Linked DNA regions of Arabidopsis thaliana. The protein of the gene in region 2 interacts with the protein of the main gene of each other region in a pairwise test. Each region holds a gene or a part of one and is shown on either strand. Other genes may lie near its edges. The genes, in order: GONST5, CEV1, AT1G14020 and AT5G35460.

Region 1 (3,817 bases), on a different chromosome or scaffold from region 2:
GGAAAATGACGATAAAGACAATATGAAAGAAAATTATGTTTACAAATGTACATATTTACCTGGGAGGAGTCATATTAAATGATCTAATCCGCCTTAGTGTATTGTATGTATCTAGAACCTCTTACTTATTCATAAACAAAAGTACATATTTTCCTTACGTTTTCTTATAAACAAATGTACATAATTTCCTACTTATATATATATATATATGTATTCAACTCAAAAATTATAGACAAAACAAAAGGATTACGTATTCTTTTTGTTCCTGATGAATCTTTCACCATATTTAAGAAAAACTATAGGTTTGAAAGAAAGAATGTACCCCGATGATCGCCAAAATATTTAAATCACATGAAAAATAACAATGTGATTTAGTTAGGCATTGAGTTTTTAGGATACTTTTGGTGGAATTGTTATTTTTCATTTTTAAAAAAGGAAAGATTTTTAGTGTCCAATGATAAATTCAATGATCTTAAAAAATTATGTACAGTGAAAGGTAATCATTCCTTGTTAACGGTATGTATTCTTTACCATGTCATGTGCATATTACGATTTTCGTAACAAAAACGTGGTCACGAATTTTAAGAAGAAAATGCCACTAAGATATGTGTTGTACAGGCTAATATTTTAAATATGAGCAATTAGTGTTACTATATTTATGCATAGCATGCAAATAGTTGTTTAGATGACCAAAACAGTATAATACATATAAGTTGTCCAGAAATCAATCGATATATTTGCCAAGAAAAAGAAACGAAAACAAGTTGACCTCCTAATAGTTAGTTACTTCTAAAATCAGCTAAAACTATTTTTACTATATAATCAACACAACATTCTCACCAAATCATCTTGTTTCAAAACCACAACAAAAAGAAAAAAGAAAGAAAAAAAACATTACAATTTAAGATTTTCAGACTCACAATACTTACGACATGGCAACTCAAGTGTCAAAGAAAATCTGCAGTGTATTGATGATTGTAATTTTATTTGCAATGATGTTTTCAGCTCATTCCAACTCGATAGATGTGTGTGTCAAAAATTGTGTCGTGAACCAGTGCATGAAAGCATCAAAGAAAGCGACTCCAGCCATATGTGCCAACCCTTGCAAGATTATATGTGATCCTCTCAACAACGAGCGATACATCGTCCCTCGAGGTAATGGTGGTCCTATAAAAAGGTTCTGCAGAGCATTTAGCTGGATTTGTACCGCTTAATTGATCCACATTACAAAAAATTTGTCTCCTTTCTCTATGCATAAGTTATATATTTATGATTTTTTGTATCAATGTATCGATCAATATTTCAAGTATTTATGTATCCTTCTTCCATAATTTTTTATCTTTAACAATATTTACTTGTATACGGAAAATTTGTTAAAAATCTAATTATTTATATTTATATATGTAACAACTGAAAATTGGTAACTTGTATAAGCATAATTTATGCTGCATAAACATATTTGCATTTAACTACACGGAAACTTACTAAAGAGAAAAAGAGAATTCTCGCATATAAAACAGAACCGTTACTCTGTTTCTCTTGGCGCTTTAATTAGGGTTTCTTATTTAGCTTTTGCATTGCCACATTCCTAAAGGTTTCATCTTTTGGATCCTTCTCTGACTCACTTCTTAAAACCCATCAATGGAGGAAGGAAGTCTGTGGCGTCAATGGACTATGTTCAGATCTCTGTTATCGATTCTTCAATGGTGGGGTTTTAACGTTACTGTTATCATCATGAACAAATGGATCTTTCAGGTTTAAAAAGTCTCTTACTTTTATCATTAAAGACTTAGCCTTTCGTTTGTTTTATCTGATCTGCGTTTGAAATTTGGTACCTTTCCTTGTTTGCAGAAACTGGATTTCAAGTTTCCATTATCAGTTTCATGTGTTCATTTCATATGTTCGTCGATTGGAGCATACATTGTGATTAAAGTCTTAAAGCTTAAACCTTTGATTGTGGTTGATCCAGAAGATAGGTGGAGGAGGATTTTTCCAATGTCATTTGTGTTCTGTATCAACATTGTGTTGGGGAATATTAGTCTTAGATACATTCCTGTCTCTTTTATGCAGACTATCAAATCTTTAACTCCTGCAACAACAGGTTTAGGGTTTTTTTAAGATTGAGAATTTTTCAAAATAAAGTGATTTTTTTTTATTGTTCTGATTGGTTTTTGTGTAATGGTTTTTTGAGTGCAGTTGTGTTACAGTGGTTGGTATGGAGGAAATATTTTGATTGGCGTATTTGGGCGTCATTGGTGCCTATTGTTGGAGGGATTCTTCTTACTTCTATTACAGAACTTAGCTTTAATGTGTTTGGATTCTGTGCTGCTTTGTTTGGATGTTTAGCTACCTCTACAAAGACCATTCTTGCAGAATCTCTTCTTCATGGATACAAATTTGACAGGTCAATGTTCTGTTTCCTGAGGTTTTGATCTTCAGTTTCACATGATAGGTGTTGAATGTGTGAAACTTACATTTGGTTTCAATGACATGCCATGCTCTCATAGTCCAATACTTGATTTGCTTTTTCATATTTCATGGAACTGAGTGTTTGTGTCCTCCTCATTTTCATGTCTCTCTATGTAGCATAAACACGGTATACTATATGGCGCCTTTCGCGACCATGATTCTCGGGTTACCTGCATTTTTACTAGAAAGGAATGGAATTTTGGATTGGTTTGAAGCACATCCATCTCCATGGTCGGCTCTCATAATTCTTTTCAACTCAGGTGTTCTAGCTTTCTGTCTTAACTTCTCCATCTTCTATGTCATTCAATCCACAACAGCAGTCACATTCAATGTAGCTGGAAACCTTAAGGTAAATGAACAAATCCCAAACCACATAACATTAATCTTTATATTCTAGTTTCAATAACTCAGATGTTTGATGGATGGTATGTGATTTGCAGGTTGCAGTAGCTGTGTTTGTTTCATGGATGATATTTCGAAACCCGATATCACCGATGAATGCTGTTGGCTGCGGAATCACACTTGTGGGCTGCACCTTTTACGGATATGTAAGACACATGCTTTCTCAGCAACAACCCGGAACTCCTAGGACTCCTCGTACCCCAAGGAACAAGATGGAACTGATCCCTCTTGTTAATGATAAACTCGAGAGTAAAATTTGAATATCATCGGTAAGTCACTAGACTATTGAACGCACACAAAGAAGTTAGATTTGATCTTGAACATCCACAAGAGAGTTATAGTTTAACTATATGTTTATTTTTACTCAAACTAGAGAAGTTAGAGAAGTGCCATTTTATTTGTTTCCATTGTATTAAATTATCTATCCTCATCAAACCAACTCAGAGATGACCACAAAGATACTTAAAGCAGGCCCATTTTTGTATTCAATTATGGTAGTGCTTTCACTTACCTCAGCTTTTTAATTTTTCCTTCCAATTTTGTTTGTGCCATAGTGCCATGTTCTAACATCAGAGACTTAATACATGACAAAATGGTGCAAGTTTGGGAATCTTTGAAAGAAGATGAAAATAGAAAGTTAATTTGACAATATATAAGAAATGATTATTCATTTTCCCGCCTTGATACATGAAAGAGCTTAAGACGGTGTTTAAGGGAAACGAATATTTTAGCTCTCAAAACAGCTCATCAAATTCGTTGCTTTAGCTTCTCAAAAGTAAAAAATGGGCTTTTTCAAGTGGGCCTCAACTTATGTTGCTGAATTTACCGCCATATCCTTCCCTTACAAAAAATCAATTTTCAAAAAATCTTCATGCTACAGTAGTCTGAAACCAGGTCAAAGGAGTTAAAGAGAAAAGGGCAAAACAGTCAAACAGCATAAAAAGAT
Region 2 (7,481 bases):
CACCGCGAACCATTGGCTACAATGCTCCTGAAGTTATTGAGACGAGGAGAGTCAGTCAAAGATCAGACGTTTATAGCTTTGGTGTGGTGATTCTCGAAATGCTAACCGGGAAGACACCTTTAACTCAGCCTGGTCTCGAGGATGAGCGTGTCGTCATTGATCTTCCGAGATGGGTTCGGTCTGTTGTGAGAGAAGAGTGGACTGCAGAGGTTTTCGATGTGGAGCTCTTGAAGTTTCAGAACATTGAAGAGGAGATGGTTCAGATGCTTCAGCTAGCGTTGGCCTGTGTTGCAAGGAATCCAGAATCGAGGCCAAAGATGGAAGAGGTCGCGAGGATGATTGAAGATGTGAGGAGATTGGATCAGTCTCAGCAGTTACAGCAAAACAGAACATCCTCAGAGGCTACTTCCAATGTCTCTGAATGATTCCTCATTCCGACCAAAAGTTTCTTTGATCAATTCTACTTCTATCTTATTACTTTTGAATCCCAGTTAAAAATAATTTCTCTTTGCATCGTAGTTTAGTGCTTATGATCAAACGTAACTGCTTTCACTAATGAAAATTGAAAAATCATAACCACTGCTTTAACTACAGAAACAAAAAAATATTCGCTTTCACTTTAATTATAACTTTCCAAAGTAACTAGAGTAAGATATATTCTACACATAAATTTATGACACCAAGACAGAAGAACGAACAGACAGATACACACAACAAAAGTAAAAAAGTGAACAAATAAAACAATGAAAAATAATTTAAATTCTGTGTTTTTTTTAACCCTCAAAACAGGTAAATATTTGCTCGCTTCTCAACAGTTGATTCCACATTCCAGAATGTCCGGGCCAGTGACTCGGCTAGTGAAGGGATCAATCCTAACCCACAACAACGAGAAGATAGAAGCCAAGAGAACAGACCAGACCACAACAATGGTAGGAGTCCGGTTCTGTCGACCCATCAAACCCTTGAGGAAAGGGTACAAGTGAACAATCACCCAGAAGGCAAAGAACAACTTACCAAAGAGTGGTCCCCATGATTGGTATCCACTGTTGATAGCATAAGAGACTCCTGCAACAACTCCCACTAAGTTTACAATGAGCAGCGTCGTTGGCGGAATCAGAAGTGTTGTCCATTTGAACAAGTAGAGCTCAGCAAAGTCTCCGTCTTCATCTGAAGCTTTTGAGGTAACTGTGAAGTTTGTGTCAATACCGGCAAGGACTTTGAGGATACCTTGAAACACAGCGAATAAATGAGCGGATACTCCACCAATGACCCAAAACTGCTCGTTTCTCCACCATTCGTCTATGCCTACGCCACTCCACCTCATTTCTAGTATACCCGTGGCGAAAATGGAGAGAAAGAGAGACAGAAACCATATACTTGCAATGTTACTAATCTGCAAAAGAGGAACAATAGAACCAGCTGATCAGGATTTGGAACCGTAAATAGATGACAAACACAACATGGTTTCAGTTAAACAGAACGTAATTAAGGTTTGTTCTAGAGATAGAGATAGAGATAGAGATAGATAGACAGAGAGAGGTGTCAAACCTGAGGAATAATAAACTGGTTGGTGAAGAGACAAACGGCTGGCAATGTACAATACATGAGAAGAGGAATGGAGGTGATAGGGTAGATGGTGGTGTTCACATACGCAAACCTCTCAAGAAATTTTAGCCTCCCATTGTAACCATACCATATAGGACAATGCCGACTGAAGAGAATCTCAACTGAACCTAAAGCCCACCTCAGCACTTGGTTCAGACGATCTGAAAGATTGATAGGAGCAGAACCCTTGAAAGCTGGAAGCTTAGGCATGCAGTAAATGGATCGCCATCCACGGGCATGCATTTTGAACCCAGTCAGAATATCTTCTGTCACAGAACCATAGATCCATCCAATCTGAAGAAAGACAGCGGAAAATATAAACAAAGTGAATGCCAAAGTGGATATGTCAGAACAATGCAGATTCATGTAGGAGTTCAAATGAGATTATACCTCCATTCCCCAATCTGACTTATCCTCATAACCACAACTAATGACATGGATAGCCTCTTTGAGAAGGTTTTCTGGAGTTGCTGAAGGAGGAACACCACCATTTTCCATTAGGGTAGAAGCAACAAAAACAGCAGACTGTCCAAATCGCTTCTCCAGGCTCATTTGCGACATTAAGAGCGCCTTTTCATCATCAAAACCAGCACCTAAGTTTCACAAATGCCAAATAGTTAAGACATGATGAGATACCTAGTATGGAAACTATTTAGACAACTGTCAACTATAAATAATCCCCTCCCCTGGATCAATATTTCAAACAGCAACATATGGGTATAACGGAAACCAAAGAAGAAATAAAAACAGTTGTACCTTCAACTCCCTCTTCTATGTCATCGAGGTTGAATACAGGAACAGTTGAGTCAGTATGCCTGCCTGATTTCTTTTTGTCCGACTCTTTCTTAGCTTTGGAATTCTTCTTTCTTGATCCACCACAGAGCTTAGATAAAAGACTTGGCTTCTTGTGTTTTACTTTTATTGGAGGTTCATAACCGTATAATGCTGTTCTGTTGAAAACACATCCAGTTCCGACATATACAGGTCCTTGAATCCCATCTAAACCTCTCAAGTTAATCTGGAAAACATATCATGGAAAAATTACGACAAACTCAAGAAACTGTGAGTTTAATGTATATTCGTGTCTAAAAGCAATTTGAAAGAACAAGAAAATTAGACGCAAGTATAGGTAAGTGTGACTTACATCAAAGAACACGGTATTACGATTAGCATATCTATCGTTCTTATCGATACCATCAAATCTTTGTGGGAACTGAACATAACAAACTTGCTTCCCGAGGTTTGGGTCCATCAGGAAGCACATTGCTTCTCTTAAGGCTTTGCTGTTATTTATGTAATGATCACAATCAAGATTCAAGATGAAAGGTCCATTGGTAAGAACTGCTGAAACTCTCACCTATTCATTTGAAAAGTACCCAGATTAGACTAACAAATTGGTCAGAATGAAGAAGTCAAAAATCCAAGATCAGAAACTTACCAGTGCATTCATAGCACCAGCCTTTTTGTGGTGCTGGAATCCTGGTCGCTTTTCTCGAGAAACATATACCAAACGCGGGAGCTCATTGCCCTCTGCATCAAGTCCACCATTTTGCCCTAAGAAGACCTGCATTCAGCAAATGGTACTTCAATAATGAACTTCTAGAGAGAAAGAGAGAGCATTCTCGATTCCATAGTTAAAACCAATTTCTTACCTGGATCATTCCTGGATGGTCCCTTGTATTATTTCCAGGCCACGGTGTGCCATCTTGCATAACCCACCCTTCTTCAGGACATTTTAGGGCTTTGGAAACAAGTGCATTGATTCGGATTTTAAATTCCTCATATTCCCTCTGAAAGAAAATAAAAGGTCAATATAGCATACACTAAAATCAAAGTGAGGGTGACTAGATGACTAAAACTACAAACTTACCTTCATAGCTCTACGATCTTTGACAAATGATGTCTGAACTTTATCCTTCAAGTAATCTATTTTCGCAGCAAAGTACCATTCTGGTGCACGAGGCTCTATGCTATATTTCTTGCAAAATGGTACCCATTTACGAGCAAACTCTGATGTTTCTGCAAGTGATTCAAATGATAACATAGCAGCACCATCATCAGAAACATAACAGGACACCTTGTCAACTGGGTAGTCAACAGCCAGAATAGAGAGCACTGTGTTGGCTGTCACAAGGGGTGGCTCCTTCAAGGGGTCAACAGTACTCACGAAAATGTCAACAGCAGCTAACTGTGATGGCTCACCTTCACGATCATATCTGTCCCAAAAATTGACCATGATCAAATTAAAATGGGAAACAGTATAGGCAAACAATCCTTTGAGTAATTGCTTCAGAAGAATGGGGAAATAGAACTTACCTTAAAGCAAGCCTGTCGAGGTAGGTTTCACGGTTCACAGGAAACCACTTGGGAAACTGATCCAAAATCCAGGATAAGGCAAACCAGATCTCACATATCACAGAGACCAGCCATAGAGCAAAGGCATTTGGCACTGGGTTTGTTATACGGTAATGCAAGAAGAGACAAAGGATAACAAGCCGCAGCATAATAACCATTCTGTAAGGATTGATCCGTGATGAAGGAATTGAAACTTTCCTTGACAGAGGCTGCCTCGCTTCGTCATTCCTGTACAATAAATAAAGAATTGGAAAATGAGTATCAGGACATTGCTTAATAGGAAAAACGCTCGGTACACCACGACAGAACAAACAAGATTACAAAACAAGAACTCACAGCAGAGCCTCATCTGCTAGGATATCTGTGCTGGCATCAATATCTACTCCACCTCTTTCAGAAGCAGCCTGCGTGCTGACAGGACCAGTATTCTTCTCTTGCTTCATTTTCCAGCCATCAACTCTCTCCTTCCAAGCTACATTCCCGAGTCCAACAGGATCCACAATCCTTCTATTTGCTGCAGCGTGAATGACAACAACAGATTTTATTGTTTAGAGTTTTGACATAAAAGAGAAGCCTAGGTACAAATATATGTGTTGGCGAGAGAGTTAGAAATAAAGGATATTTACGTGATTGATTGACATCTGATGAATAGGGAAGGCGCTTTCCCCCAGCGATAGTAGAAGATACAGAGAGGCGTTCAGGTGAGGCAGCAGAAAACTCTCCTGAAGTCTGTAAATAAGCAAATGACAAAATCAGATTCCAAAACTAAATTGCGTGAGGATGCGAATGCTTAAGAGGGAAGAATGAACAGCAATGCCTTACATCTTGTCTGCTCGTGAGACGAGGAAGATGATTGTGAGAGACCTCTTTATCATACTGGGGTTCCCCCATTTCCTCTCCCTTCCCACGAGTAAGATGCCAACCAAGCATCCGCTCTGAAATTTTCTCCTTCTGAGGGTAGTTGAACTCAACAGTACCTTCATCAGCTAAGCCATCCTCGTCTTTATCACCAGGAATAGCAGGACTACCTAGAATCAGAAATTAGCAAATTGCTATAAATACCAATCTGATCCAAAATTCAAAACATACTGATAAACTATCGATGAACAATGAAGACAGTATACTTCAGAAGGATCAAAAGAGAACCTTTGAGCCTCTTGTATCTGGTTTTGCACTGAGGACAAGATTGATTCCCATCTTTCCTCTCATACTCGTAGCAAGGCCGACAAACTGGGAATGAACAAATATCACAAGCCACAAAACGATCTCCATCAACAGTCTTGCCAACATTGTCACTACAGATCTGGCAAGTCTGCGGAACAATGTTCTTCATCGGCTTTCCCTACAAATCAAGTCGAATCAATGAAGCCAAAATTAGAAACCTCAACAGAAAATTTGAAATCAGATCTCTCCAATACACAATTCAACACCCAAATCAATCAATTTCAGTACATATAATTCCTGATTTCGATAAAGGTAAGTATAATGATGAAGCAAGAGTCAAAAAAGCATACCGCGGTTTCTCCTTCGGATTCCATTTGTCACTTAGTTGCTTCCAACACCGAAACGTCGGAATAGTTCAAATCTGATCGGAATTATCAAAAACAGAAACTACGATTAGATCTGAGGAGATCCGAGTAAAGGAAGTCAAATCTGAGAATGGATCATGAGTGTAAGAAGAGTTAAAAGCTTTACCATGAGATCTGAAGATGGAGTGTGGTGATGTGACTCTCTGAATCTCTCTCAATCTGGATCCAAGCTTTCTTCTCTACAGAGAGATAGTTTATAAGGAAGACGAAGAGGAGAATCTTGGGATGGCTAAGAAGATGCAAAGAGCAAGCTATTTGTCTCCTCTACTCGTCACTCTTCCAGATTTTTAAAATATTAATATATTTGTCACAAATCATAATCCAACCAAGCAACAACCACCACCACCACCGACAACTTCCACAGTCGATTTTTTTCTAGTTACAGTTTTACAGTGGCTGTAAAAAAAGTGAAAAAACGGCCGATAAACCTTTAAAATATCCTTAGAAATATATTATCATCGAATTAGTGACTAAATCAAAATAGTAATTGATATTTGATAGTGATATAACTAAAATAGAAGTGTGAAGAACACAACAAATCACAAGTAGTGGGGTAAAGGATATTCATCGTCACTAACTTTCTTACAGATAAAACTTAAAAAGTATTTGCCGACAAAAATAAAACTTCAAAATATTAATTAATCAACGGATTAGTCCAATGAATAAATCAAAATATATTGATAGTGATGCTTTACTTACTAGTATATCAAAATAGGCTAAAACCAGCGGGCTGAAAAAATAAAGGTCCAACTCTAGTATCATCAAGCCCAACAGAATCGAGAAAATGGGTTTGTTGGACTTTGCAGACAAAATTGGTATATGTTCGGTTTACGTTATTTACGAGAGAAAATTGAATCGAACCGAACCCAATAATTAATAGGTCAAACTTTGATAACTGGTGGTGCATGTGGAGATGTGTGGCCACTAGTGCAGCAAAGAACAGACTGTCAGATAGACAAAAGAAGAAAATGGCAAACATTTGAATCCCAAAGAGCGCCACTTTCTCTTCGCTATCCGACAAATCTTCCCTCCTCTTTGTCGTCCCTTTAAACCTTTCCACCTTCTGCTTCGTAACTCTCGTACCCTAGCAATCCTCTACTTAAACCTTCCTTTGTTTCTCCTTCACTTTTCCTGTAAATCTGCTCTTTTGTTCCCTCGATCATATCAATTTTCAAGGTCAGTGAAATCTCATGTTTATTTGGTCCTATGTGAATCAGATTTCAGGGTTTGATATTTGTTTGTTCCGTTGATGTGTTTTGTAGATCTTATGATCTGAGTTACTTGCTCTGTTTTTCTGAGATTTATGGAGGGTCTTTGTCTATGTTTCTTCACCGTTGCAAATGAGTTATAATTTCTGTTTACATGTAGTGAAAAAAGTTCAGTTCTGTGACATAAGAAAGTCTTAAAATTTACGCAACCCTAGTTTTTTTATTTTCTAAGATTTCAATTAAAGAACATTAGCTTGTCTCTTCATGATAGTTTTCCACTGATTATTATCACAACTTTTTTTTTTGTTAGATATTTTTAATCGAAATTATTGTAGAGATAAATATAAATACGTTTTTTTTTTTTTTGGTCAAAAAATATAAATACGTTTAGTTATAGCTAAATCTTAGGAGTATAAAAAAAAAAAAAGTAAATAAAAATCTTACCAGTTTTTATATCTCGTATATCTTCTGTATTTTTAGGGTTTTTCTGTTACATCATTCTATGTTTACGTTTCTTTGATTTTTTTTTGCTTGATCATTTTTAAGTTGATTCGCTTTTTGTTGTTTAAGTGTAATGGATTTTACAACAGTTGAGGTCCCAGATGAGTGGCCACATAATTCGAATTCCTTTGTGGACATCTCAACAGGTATAACCGTATAATTCATTCATGTCTTATTTTGGTTGTGTGCGTTTCCGTTCAAACGTAGAAATCTTATTAGACAT
Region 3 (4,908 bases), on a different chromosome or scaffold from region 2:
TCAGTAACACACGAGCCCTGTCAGCTTAATTCATGGCCTTGTTCTAACCAAACCAATGCACCAACATAACCTATAAACCAAGACTACATAGCATTTCTCACTTCAGATATAACTTTCCACTTTCCAGCACTATGTCTTGGTGTAACTTAGGCAGCTATCAAATTCTCACACATCCGGCGCAATGCTCTATTGTTCATGTCATTAGAAGCATCAAAATCTATTTCCTCTAAAGAGATTAGTTTGACTAAGTTAAGACTTCAAGAGTAAAGAAAAAGCGAAAAACTTACTTCGACTTGGCTCTTCTTTGCCACATTCGACCAATCCTTGGTATGAATACCCGTCCTCCAATCAAAGTCAATGATCAGCGTCGTCTCTGGTTTGTGATCGACGGCGGAGAAGCAACTTATGTAATCCCCTGTTTCCACAGCTACAAACGAGAATTGTCCCGATTCTACTCCGTCCGATTCGTGATAAGCCGTCCCTTGTGGCGATGTGACCTTAAAAATCAAACACATTGCATTATACTGAAATCGCCGGAAGAAGAAATTGAAGGGAAATGCGATCCGATCGGATGATTATTACCCTGACGGTGACTTTATGGGAAGAAGGAAGAGGATGATCCTCGTGAGGGTTTATAATGCTGTATTTTCCGATGGTCATTGCGTTTGCGTGAATCTCCTCTGAGATGCATTTCGTGTGCCCAGAAAGTAGCTCGTATCGTATAGAGAGTGTCACGGGAGATAAAATTGAGAGGATCAATAGTACGATCGAGCTCCGACGATGATTCATGACGGCTCCGATATAGAGAGAAATCGATCTGACGGATTTCAAAGTTTAGCTATTTTTCTTGTTAAACGGAAGGAAGGAAACAAAAGAAAGTCAACACGTGCATTGCCACGTGTTAGTATTTCATTCGTTAAAACACGTGGAGTACTACCCTCTGGAATTGGGCTTTAAAATTAAGGCCCATTAATAATGTTGGACCTATATACTTGTAGTGGATCACACTAAAGTAAGTTAGAAGTAAATAAAGAAACAAATAACACATCCAGATTTTATAATTCAAGCATAACTACATATGACTTGGTAATGTTAATTTTAAACTTAATTGGGAAATTTTGTTGAAAAGACAATTGTACTCGAGTTTTTAGTAAAGAATAAAATAGTAATCTTTCCTTGGAAGGGATGTTAATAATGCAACATTGAGGTACGTGTCATGATTTCGTTTCAGTTTTTGTTTTGTTTTACAACAGCTTGAAAATATCTGAATAAAGGAGATGAATATAAACAGTGGTTTGAATCGTGATTAGTGCAATAAATAGATGACAGTAATAAAAAAAGTACGGGAGAACAATTAGGTGAATCCGTTGACGAATGACAACGACTATCAAAAAGGCAAAATGTGTCATCTTTCTTTATATGTTTTTCAATGTTGAATATTCTTGAAATCTTTATTTATCATATGTTTTTCTGATCAATCATTATCCTTGAAACCTATTTTTTTTTTTTTTTGGTTATAGAATAATCTTTGACATTTAATGATATATATAATGAAACAAGTTAGGAAAATTGAAGCTTTCTGAATTAGGAAATAAATTGTGTAAGCAATAGAATGAGTTTCTTGGGAAAACAATAAATAGAAGAAGAAGAAGACACTTTGACGGTTAATTAACTTATTTTCCCATCTCTCACCGTTACCACCTCTTTTTTTTTTTTTTCCGTCTCGTGATTTTTTTTTCTTCTTCTGAATTTCGAAAGAAAAAAAAACTCCTCGAGATTCAAACCATTTGACACAAAGGAGAGAAGAAGCATTTCATTTCGCGTTTGTCATCTAATTTCAATTTCTGACATCTCACAAGATCGGAGAAATTTAGGTTATAGTAATTTTATTCTCATGAAGCGGCGACGACGATCGTCGGAGGAGGGAGATGGAAGTTAGATCGGAGAGTAATATTACTCAGGCGCGAAGCGATAAGCTTCCGCTTCCGCCGGCAGTTCCGAAGCCTCGTGTACAAGTATGGTTCGTTAGAGTTTGCTCCAGCATTTTGGTTTGGACGTGTTTGGTTCAGCTTTTCGCCGCCGGTGAGCTTTGGCATTCCCGGATCTTCACTGGTTTAACCAATCAGATTTCTAGATTCTCAGCCCCTGTTGAGCCAGTTCCATTGCCACCTCCTCTACCTCCTCCGAGTCAGTTTTCTCTCTATTTAGGGGACATTAGGGTTCGTTGGTGCTTGAGAGAGTTTAACGAGATTGTTGATTTTGTGCAGGGAATTATACAAGCAATGGTATTCTACTTGTATCCTGTAATGGTGGATTGAATCAAATGCGATCCGCGGTTGGTGACTTTGCTTTAATTCTCTTTTTCTTCTTCTTTCAGATTTGATGTTTTTCCAAATTCTGATTTTTATGTTGTGTTTCAGATATGTGATATGGTGACTGTTGCTCGGTTATTGAATCTCACTCTCGTTGTTCCAGAGCTTGACAAAACATCTTTCTGGGCTGATCCTAGGTACTCTATCTTTGGTGTTTATAGAATCACTCATGTGTCTTATATGCTTAACATTTTTTAGCAATCTAAAGTATCCTCATTTTTGTTTGCAGTGGTTTTGAGGATATTTTTGATGTGAGACATTTCATTGATTCATTAAGAGATGAAGTTCGGATCTTAAGGAGGCTTCCTAAACGGTTTAGTAGAAAGTATGGATATCAAATGTTCGAAATGCCTCCTGTGAGCTGGTCTGATGAAAAATATTACTTGAAGCAGGTTTGTCTTGTTTATCACTAGTTTTGCTGTTTTGGTTCCTTTGACTATCCTTGTTACAAGATATTACCTAACCATTTGCATATGTGATTGGTTAATTTCTTGTTCAGGTATTGCCTCTCTTCAGCAAGCATAAAGTTGTACACTTCAATAGGACTGATACCCGCCTGGCAAACAATGGTCTTCCGCTCTCTCTCCAGTGGCTCAGGTGCCGGGTGAATTTTCAGGGACTAAAGTTCACTCCACAGCTTGAGGCTTTGGGATCTAAGTTAGTTCGGATTCTACAACAAAGAGGGCCATTTGTGGCTTTGCATCTGAGATATGAGATGGACATGTTAGCTTTCTCTGGCTGCACTCATGGTTGCACTGAGGAAGAAGCGGAAGAGCTAAAAAAGATGAGGTTTCTCTTCAAAAGATTTCTCCTGAATTGGTGCTCTGGTTATAGGTCTTTTTAGTTGTTAATTCATAGGTCCATTCTGTGTTCTTTAGGTACACATATCCCTGGTGGAGAGAGAAGGAGATAGTCTCAGAGGAGAGGAGGGCGCAAGGGCTGTGTCCTTTGACGCCAGAGGAGGTGGCCTTGGTATTAAAAGCGTTGGGATTTGAGAAAAATACACAGATATACATTGCAGCTGGTGAGATTTATGGGAGCGAGCATAGACTATCCGTGTTAAGGGAAGCATTCCCGAGAATTGTGAGTCTACCAGTCCTGGTTTCCCTTTTCTTGCTACAAAGAATGCTCAACTGCATCGTCATTACAATGCACTTTTTCTTATCAGTTTTACTCACCTGTGGTTATAGGTAAAGAAGGAAATGCTATTGGAGTCAGCAGAGCTGCAACAGTTTCAGAACCATTCGTCTCAAATGGCTGCTCTAGATTTCATGGTATCTGTGGCCAGCAACACTTTTATTCCTACGTATGATGGAAACATGGCAAAAGTCGTGGAAGGTCATCGTAGGTAAATTATTTGTGGTGTCGAATGCATTCAATTTCATGACAACTAAAAAGGTGGTGTTAAGAATAACCAAACCTGTGATTCTATATAACCATTATTGGTCTATATCTGATTTGAATTTGCAGATACCTTGGATATAAGAAGACAATCCTGCTTGACCGTAAGAGACTCGTGGAGCTACTAGACTTACATCACAACAAGACCCTCACGTGGGATCAGTTTGCAGTAGCAGTCAAGGAAGCCCATGAGAGACGAGCAGGAGCACCTACTCATCGAAGAGTAATCTCTGACAAACCTAAGGAGGAAGATTACTTCTACGCAAATCCTCAAGAATGTCTTTGTGAAGGTACAAATTGCCACGACCTGTTTGGCCATAGAAATTTAACACATTGAAGTCATGTTTTTAGCATATTATATCTCATTGCTTCCGCAAGAGGACGGCATGTCAAACACTTGAACGGGAGCTGCATAGTTCCTTCCCTGAGTTTTTCCATTTTTGTTTGTAATTTTTTTCAATTTTCCTGCATAGTTGCTGATCTTGATTTATTTAGTTTTACGTAAATTAAGATGTAACTAAAAAGAAGATTATGTCTCATCTTATAGAATTTCAAAAAGCCTGCTTTTGGCAATAGCCTAACATACAAATTGTGGTCTCTCAACTCTGATGTCTTGAGGTTGATTCAAGTCTATGTGGTCTGAGACCAAACCAGTAAAGATTTTCTTTCTAGCCTTGAGTTTGTTCTGCAGGATAAGCTATACAAGCTAAGCTAATTCTCACTTGGTTTCCCAGAAGATAATATCCCCTTGTTCGCCAACCAACCCAAGATCTTTGAGCCTTCTCTCTTGGTAATACTCTAAAATGTCAAGTTCAAGCTCTCTATCCTTGAAGATTTGGTCGATTTGCTGAAGCACTCTCTTCTCACCAATCCTTATCTTGAGAGCCATTTCCAACCTAGGCTCAAGCTTTCCTTTGTCCAGAAGCTTCTCATCCTACAACAGACGATGAAGACGAGTAAGAAATGAGTGTTAAGCTGCAAAGACAGTACAAGTAAGAGCTCGAACATATATACCTCTTCAATGGTCGTATCAAAACCAGACAGAGCAGATTTGCAGGCATCTCTGACAACACGGCATATGAGTTCCTCGTTTGTACGACTTACAGGCAATTCAAGATGACCCCATATGGTGTTA
Region 4 (5,470 bases), about 12 Mb from region 2:
TTAAAGGAACTGAAGATTGAAGGAATGAAGAGGGAGTGGAAGGAGAAATTGGTTGGAGAAGATTACTACAAAGTCCAACACATTCCCGATGTTCAATTTTTCAACTGTGACGACGAACAAAGAGAATAACCAGTAGCAGGTAAAAAATAAACGGTATAATAATGTTCACTTTTCAAAGTCATGTGGACAGTCTCAACTTTTATACATTGTTCTAAAATCGATCATCTTTTAAATAGATGCAGGAAAGAACAAGAAGCTAGTCAAATTCTCTTATATTGGGAGAGATAGAGGCTGCTTCACAAGAGTCATCTACTGATAAATCTCTGGAATACAGATTCTGAAGTACTACTGATTACGTTGGAGCTCTCGCTTTCAGTGCATCGTTATGTTGTGGCTCAGAACTATATGCTTTTTATTGATGTTTGTTTTCGGTGTGGATGCATGGAACGTGCTTGAGAACTCTTTCATAAAATTGAGAAACGAACCTTGTTTTTTTTGTAGTTCATTGTAAAAATTGGATATTTATGTTTATACGAATTTGTTTTGTTTTCTCGTTTGTGATTTAACACAGTTAGCTAGCTTTTGTAAGCTTTATTTACATCAAATCTGGTTAGATTTGTTTTTTATCACATTTAGGCTTAAGTTTTGTTAGTTTTGCACCTCTTTTACTGTGTACGCATAGTGAAGTCATGGTTGAACCAAGACGAGCAAAACTGATGTACAATAAACAAAACAATCTCATTTTGTACAAGTTTTTTGTTTCATTTTAATTTCTTTTATCAGTACTGTGTGATATTTGCACTCGTGACTTAGACTTGGGTCGTTGAGGGATTAGTCGATTTCTTGTTCAGGAACAACATAAGATTGTCAGAACAAAACACCAGTTTTTGTACTTTTGTTTTTAAATCTTGTTTCAACTTCAGACAGACCCCCTTATTCTATGGCTTTAGTATATTTGTTTACTTTTGAACAATGTTCAAAAAAGTGTTAGGCGATAAACGGGCGATGACCCAACGCCTAGCGTTTAGAACGCTTAGTCGGGGTTTAAGTGATTTTAGGTGGTTTATCCGTTTATGACATAAAACATTTTAAATATGATATTATAGATAAAAATCATATAAAACTATATATTAGAAAATATTAATCGGATCCTAATCAAAAATTAGATAAAAATGTTTCTTTAATTTATATCAACAATATATGAATGTTTATAACCATGTGTAGAAGTAAAACTTATAAAATTTAAGCAATATTAGTTAAAAATAAAAAAAATATACTAAAACGAAATTTATGTTATTTTAGGCAGTCGAGATGATTATTTAGGCGTCAACTGAACGCTTAGCGGCATATAAACGACCGTCTAGACCGCTTTTTACAACACTGCTTTTGAATCTTTCAAACTTCATCCAAAAACAAAACTAAAGCTTCTGGAACATGTGAAACCTTGTCAAGAAACTCTAGTTTTGAACTCATAAAACCTAGTTAAGAAGTTTTTTTTTTTTGTCGGCACCTAGTAAAGAAGTTATACCACAGCATTCTTTTTTTACTTTTTTTCTTTAATACAAGATGCAATTAAACAAAATGTTCCTCTAACTATAATAATGTAGAAAAATACGTGTACGCTAGGAAATTTCTCGACCCGCGCAAAAGAGGGTCCTAGAAGTTTCAACTTTCGACACGTGGCTCCTTCTCAGTCTCTCTTATTAAAGTCTTTAAATTATATAATCACCAAAGGCAATTAATGGAATTAATTTACTTTGAGGACTAATATTCCATCTGATTTCCCAAGATAAAACATAAAGTCCTTATTACTTAATTATGAATGTAATTATTGGATTACATGTAATTAATCACCACTTTATAAAACTGAACAAAAATAGTAACGAATATAAAGAGTTTAATAATGATTTTTGGGTCATTTTCCTTCACCAAATTTTTAATTCCGCATAAAGTAAAATATCCTGAAAACAGAAAAATTCAGTGTTTTCGGATTCTCCTTTAAAAACGACAAAAGCATCTACAGAGAAATCTGACCGCAATAATGGCGAATAACGAAGATTCAAACTCCAATGGACTAGACTCGTTTGATGCTGTTAAACAACGTTTCAAAGATCGATCAAAGGTACAACATCAGATTCGATTTTCACCATTTTTGATGTTTCTCTTTTGTTCCAATTTTGTTGATTTTGACTTTGTGGACCAATTGTTTTTGATTTTGACAGAAAGTTGTTCAGACGAGAGAGTTGTTGTCTAAACAAGCGGTACAAACGCGTGAGATCTTATCGAAACAAGCCGTTAAGATCGCTAAACAAGCCGAAGAACATGAGAGATTCATCAATAAGGTTAGGTTTCTCTCTTGATTCTTCAATCATGTTTTGATTTTAAGTTACTTTGGTTTGAAAATGTTTGGTTCTGTAATGTTTTAAAGGTGACACATCTCGTTGGTGTGCTTGGATTTGGAGGTTTTTGTTTCCTACTTGGTGCAAGTGAGTTCAAAGAAATTGTGTTTTTTTTTTGTTTTTTTTGTGTTTTGTTCTTAATTCAATGTTGTTGATGTTGATGATGTTTTCGTTTTCAGGACCTCAAGACATTCCTTTAGTTTACTGTTTCTTCTATGTGATCTTTGTTCCTCTTCGATGGATATATTACCGGTTTAAGAAATGGCATTATTATCTTCTGGTAATGTCTCTTTTGAGGATTTGGAATTAAGAAACAGTCGTTTTGATTGTTATTGAAACAATTTTTGTGTATGTGATAGGACTTTTGCTACTATGCCAATACAATCTTCTTGGTTGATCTTCTTCTGTATCCTAAGAATGAAAAGCTTTTCATGGTTTGCTTTTCCTTTGCTGAGGTATGCTTTTTAACTACATGTATGTATATGAGTCTTTTGTGTCATTGTGTGTGCTGATTTATTTTATTGGTTGTGTCTTGTGCTGCAGGGACCATTGGCGTGGGCGATTATTGTCTGGCGTTGCAGTCTGGTTTTTAGTTCGCCGGATAAGATTGTTAGTGTTCTTATACATCTCTTACCTGGTGAGTTCTATAATCTTCTTGTTGACAGAAGAAGATATGTTATTGATTCATATTGCTAAAGTTGACGGCTTTGATTAAAGTAGTTGTATGAATTCTTAGCTTGTTGTTCCCCTCTCAACCGTTTTTAATTCAAACACATGGTTCCTTGTTGTAATGCATATGATAGATATAGTTAAGCTTTATGCTCTCTCTCTCCATTGTTTCTTTATTATTGTAATGAATTTTGGTTTCAGGGCTCGTGTTTTTCACGATTAGGTGGTGGAATCCAGCGACTTTTGCAGCTATGCACCCTGTAGGCACTGATCGTAGGGTTTCATGGCCTTATGTTGAAGACAAAGCTTACCTATTCACATGGCTGTTTCTCGTCCCCTTAGTCGTTTATACTCTTTGGCAAGTGCTCTATTTTCTAATCGTCAATGTCCTGCGTAGGCAGAGACTCCTTAGAGATCCTGAAGTTATGACTTCTTACAGGTATCTCTTGTCTACGCCGTATGTTAATGTTCTCCTCATATTGATCGCTAAGGTCACAGCATAATGTAATGTGTTCTTACCATAGAGTGAACACTTGTATTGATGGAATCCTTTGGTATGTGCAGAGAGCTGTCGAAGAAAGCTGAAAAGGCAAACAATAAGTTGTGGCAGCTGAGCGGTCTGCTAGGGGATCAGAATCGTATATGGATGTACATCCTATTCCAGGCCATCTTCACGGTGGCAACCATGGCATTGACCGTACCGATCTTCCTATCTTATAGACTTCATGTGATCTTTCAGATCCTAAAGATTTCTGCGGCTGTGTGGAACGGAGGGAGCTTTTTACTAGAGGTAATGCCACGGCAAGTGATCCAGAAAGAGAAGAAGAAGAAAGCTGAGATGCAGCCGATAGAGGAGCAGATACTACATCATGAAGCTGTGTCACATCCGACTGAGAATGAGCCAAAATCTACTGAAACATGATCATGGTTCTAACAAAAAGGTACATGTAAAATAAAGTTTTCAAAGGTGAATCATGATTGGTGTTTTTTTTGTTCCTCATGTTTTGTTCTATAACTGTTTGTTTCTCTTGTTGCTATACATCATTCTAAAAGCTTAATGTATGTGAATGATCTTGTAGTTTATTTTTTCTAAAGAAACTTGTTATTTACTCTTTAGCCAAAGTTTTGATCCTGTTTCGCTAGGACATTCTGGCCTTAAAATTGCATTATGAGAGATTTAACTATATTTTTAACGCGTTTTCGAGAAAGGAAAATCTTCGGATTTCAGCGAAGTAGATTGGGATAAGTTCTCCTTGAGACGCGGATTTTGTTTTCTGTTTCTGCTGTACAAAACAACCATCACTAAAGATCATAACATTCATGTGTTTGATAGTGCATAGTTCTCGAACATGTCGTTACCAGCCGCGGAATAAGCTTAATAAGTATGCCGATAGCATTATGAAATCCATCATGTCCGATACGACTATTGTTCAGTGGAGATGAAGCTTAATAACTTGAGTTCCGCCAAAGAATTCACTCAAAAATCGACCATGAAGAGGATTTTGATCGATGCAAATCGCCCCTGTAACGAGCTGATTTGGAAGAAGACTCAAGAACCACCAATTTGCACCGTACGGTCAAATTGAGTCAAACCAAACCGAAGAGCCCCCTGATGTACTTGAAGACTTTCTGCTGATTATATTCACCCTCATGAAAAGACTACACGACGTTTAGAAGCTGCGACTTTAACTTAGCTCTCGACGCCATCACCGAAGATCCTCCATTATAGCCTAACGGCTAGAATCATCACGCTCCTCTCTTTATTTCGCATTATTCGGTTTCCTTTTCTAAGTTTTAGACCATTGTTGTACTTTTCAATTTAAGCTCTTTGATTCTCTACTTTGTATTCACGCTTTGATCAATTGAAATTCAGTTTGTTTCTTGCTTCAATACTTTGTATCTTGAATCAAATCTGTTCTTGCGAGTTCTAGGTTGTTTGTAGAATCAAATACTTCTCATCTAAAAGCTTCCATCGCTCGCTTCTAAGCATTGGACCCGTGAGCCTTGTCTTGGTGGAATCCAGGACGTGTAGTCGTGTATCACATGAAATGAATGGAATAAGATTTTGATTATATAATCTACAAAGTAGGTCGCATTAAGATACATGCCAAATACCGCACTGAACAGAGAAAGAAAACAGAAAATCAATGTAAATATTGTTGGTGTGTCCTTGACTACAATGTTTTTTGAAAAATTATCTTGATCATGTGTTTTGTCAGGTCCGAGTTGTCCATGATATCAATATTCATGATGGTAATCGATCAACCTTTGAGAGTATAGTAACAACACTTGGCATATTTCTCACTTACGCTAGTCTCATTTTTTGTTCATTCAATGAAAAAACTTAATTTTATGAATAAAATTTCTCGAAATGCGCTTAAGACCTTGACAGTACGACAATC

Evidence for each region.
Region 1: the proteins of CEV1 (region 2) and GONST5 interact in a protein complementation assay, tested with the Arabidopsis thaliana proteins (one large-scale study listed by BioGRID).
Region 3: the proteins of CEV1 (region 2) and AT1G14020 interact in a protein complementation assay, tested with the Arabidopsis thaliana proteins (one large-scale study listed by BioGRID).
Region 4: the proteins of CEV1 (region 2) and AT5G35460 interact in a protein complementation assay, tested with the Arabidopsis thaliana proteins (one large-scale study listed by BioGRID).

The regions. Positions count from the first base shown.
Region 1 is NC_003070.9:7,676,567-7,680,383, forward strand, and holds GONST5 (golgi nucleotide sugar transporter 5), read left to right. Parts: upstream 1-1,641; coding exon 1,642-1,755; intron 1,756-1,851; coding exon 1,852-2,101; intron 2,102-2,196; coding exon 2,197-2,404; intron 2,405-2,586; coding exon 2,587-2,818; intron 2,819-2,909; coding exon 2,910-3,131; 3' UTR 3,132-3,277; downstream 3,278-3,817. Other genes in the region: AT1G21866 (Plant thionin family protein), read left to right, coding at 933-1,214. UniProt on the Arabidopsis thaliana protein: GDP-mannose transporter that may be involved in the import of GDP-mannose from the cytoplasm into the Golgi lumen.
Region 2 is NC_003076.8:1,529,593-1,537,073, forward strand, and holds CEV1 (Cellulose synthase family protein), read right to left. Parts: upstream 5,967-7,481; 5' UTR 5,656-5,966; intron 5,546-5,655; 5' UTR 5,499-5,545; coding exon 5,475-5,498; intron 5,303-5,474; coding exon 5,107-5,302; intron 4,989-5,106; coding exon 4,783-4,988; intron 4,690-4,782; coding exon 4,587-4,689; intron 4,475-4,586; coding exon 4,297-4,474; intron 4,189-4,296; coding exon 3,922-4,188; intron 3,822-3,921; coding exon 3,476-3,821; intron 3,396-3,475; coding exon 3,258-3,395; intron 3,170-3,257; coding exon 3,044-3,169; intron 2,963-3,043; coding exon 2,750-2,962; intron 2,624-2,749; coding exon 2,362-2,623; intron 2,199-2,361; coding exon 1,996-2,198; intron 1,900-1,995; coding exon 1,549-1,899; intron 1,394-1,548; coding exon 809-1,393; 3' UTR 540-808; downstream 1-539. Other genes in the region: RUL1 (Leucine-rich repeat protein kinase family protein), read left to right, coding at 1-425; AT5G05180 (myosin heavy chain, striated protein), read left to right, coding at 7,332-7,404. UniProt on the Arabidopsis thaliana protein: Catalytic subunit of cellulose synthase terminal complexes ('rosettes'), required for beta-1,4-glucan microfibril crystallization, a major mechanism of the cell wall formation. Involved in the primary cell wall formation, especially in roots.
Region 3 is NC_003070.9:4,801,002-4,805,909, forward strand, and holds AT1G14020 (O-fucosyltransferase family protein), read left to right. Parts: upstream 1-1,718; 5' UTR 1,719-1,928; coding exon 1,929-2,187; intron 2,188-2,267; coding exon 2,268-2,335; intron 2,336-2,420; coding exon 2,421-2,509; intron 2,510-2,601; coding exon 2,602-2,764; intron 2,765-2,871; coding exon 2,872-3,161; intron 3,162-3,250; coding exon 3,251-3,455; intron 3,456-3,562; coding exon 3,563-3,720; intron 3,721-3,842; coding exon 3,843-4,110; 3' UTR 4,111-4,374; downstream 4,375-4,908. Other genes in the region: AT1G14010 (emp24/gp25L/p24 family/GOLD family protein), read right to left, coding at 288-497, 583-789; LSMT-L (Rubisco methyltransferase family protein), read right to left, coding at 4,492-4,707, 4,788-4,908. UniProt on the Arabidopsis thaliana protein: Glycosyltransferase involved in the formation of rhamnogalacturonan I (RG-I) oligosaccharides in the seed coat mucilage, which is a specialized cell wall with abundant RG-I. Transfers the rhamnose residue from UDP-beta-L-rhamnose to RG-I oligosaccharides.
Region 4 is NC_003076.8:13,670,557-13,676,026, forward strand, and holds AT5G35460 (uncharacterized protein), read left to right. Parts: upstream 1-1,932; 5' UTR 1,933-2,041; coding exon 2,042-2,122; intron 2,123-2,222; coding exon 2,223-2,342; intron 2,343-2,428; coding exon 2,429-2,486; intron 2,487-2,578; coding exon 2,579-2,679; intron 2,680-2,758; coding exon 2,759-2,854; intron 2,855-2,942; coding exon 2,943-3,036; intron 3,037-3,269; coding exon 3,270-3,507; intron 3,508-3,632; coding exon 3,633-3,990; 3' UTR 3,991-4,947; downstream 4,948-5,470. Other genes in the region: AT5G35450 (Disease resistance protein (CC-NBS-LRR class) family), read left to right, coding at 1-129. UniProt on the Arabidopsis thaliana protein: Glycerophosphocholine acyltransferase (GPCAT) that utilizes acyl-CoA to acylate glycero-3-phosphocholine (GPC), forming lysophosphatidylcholine (LPC).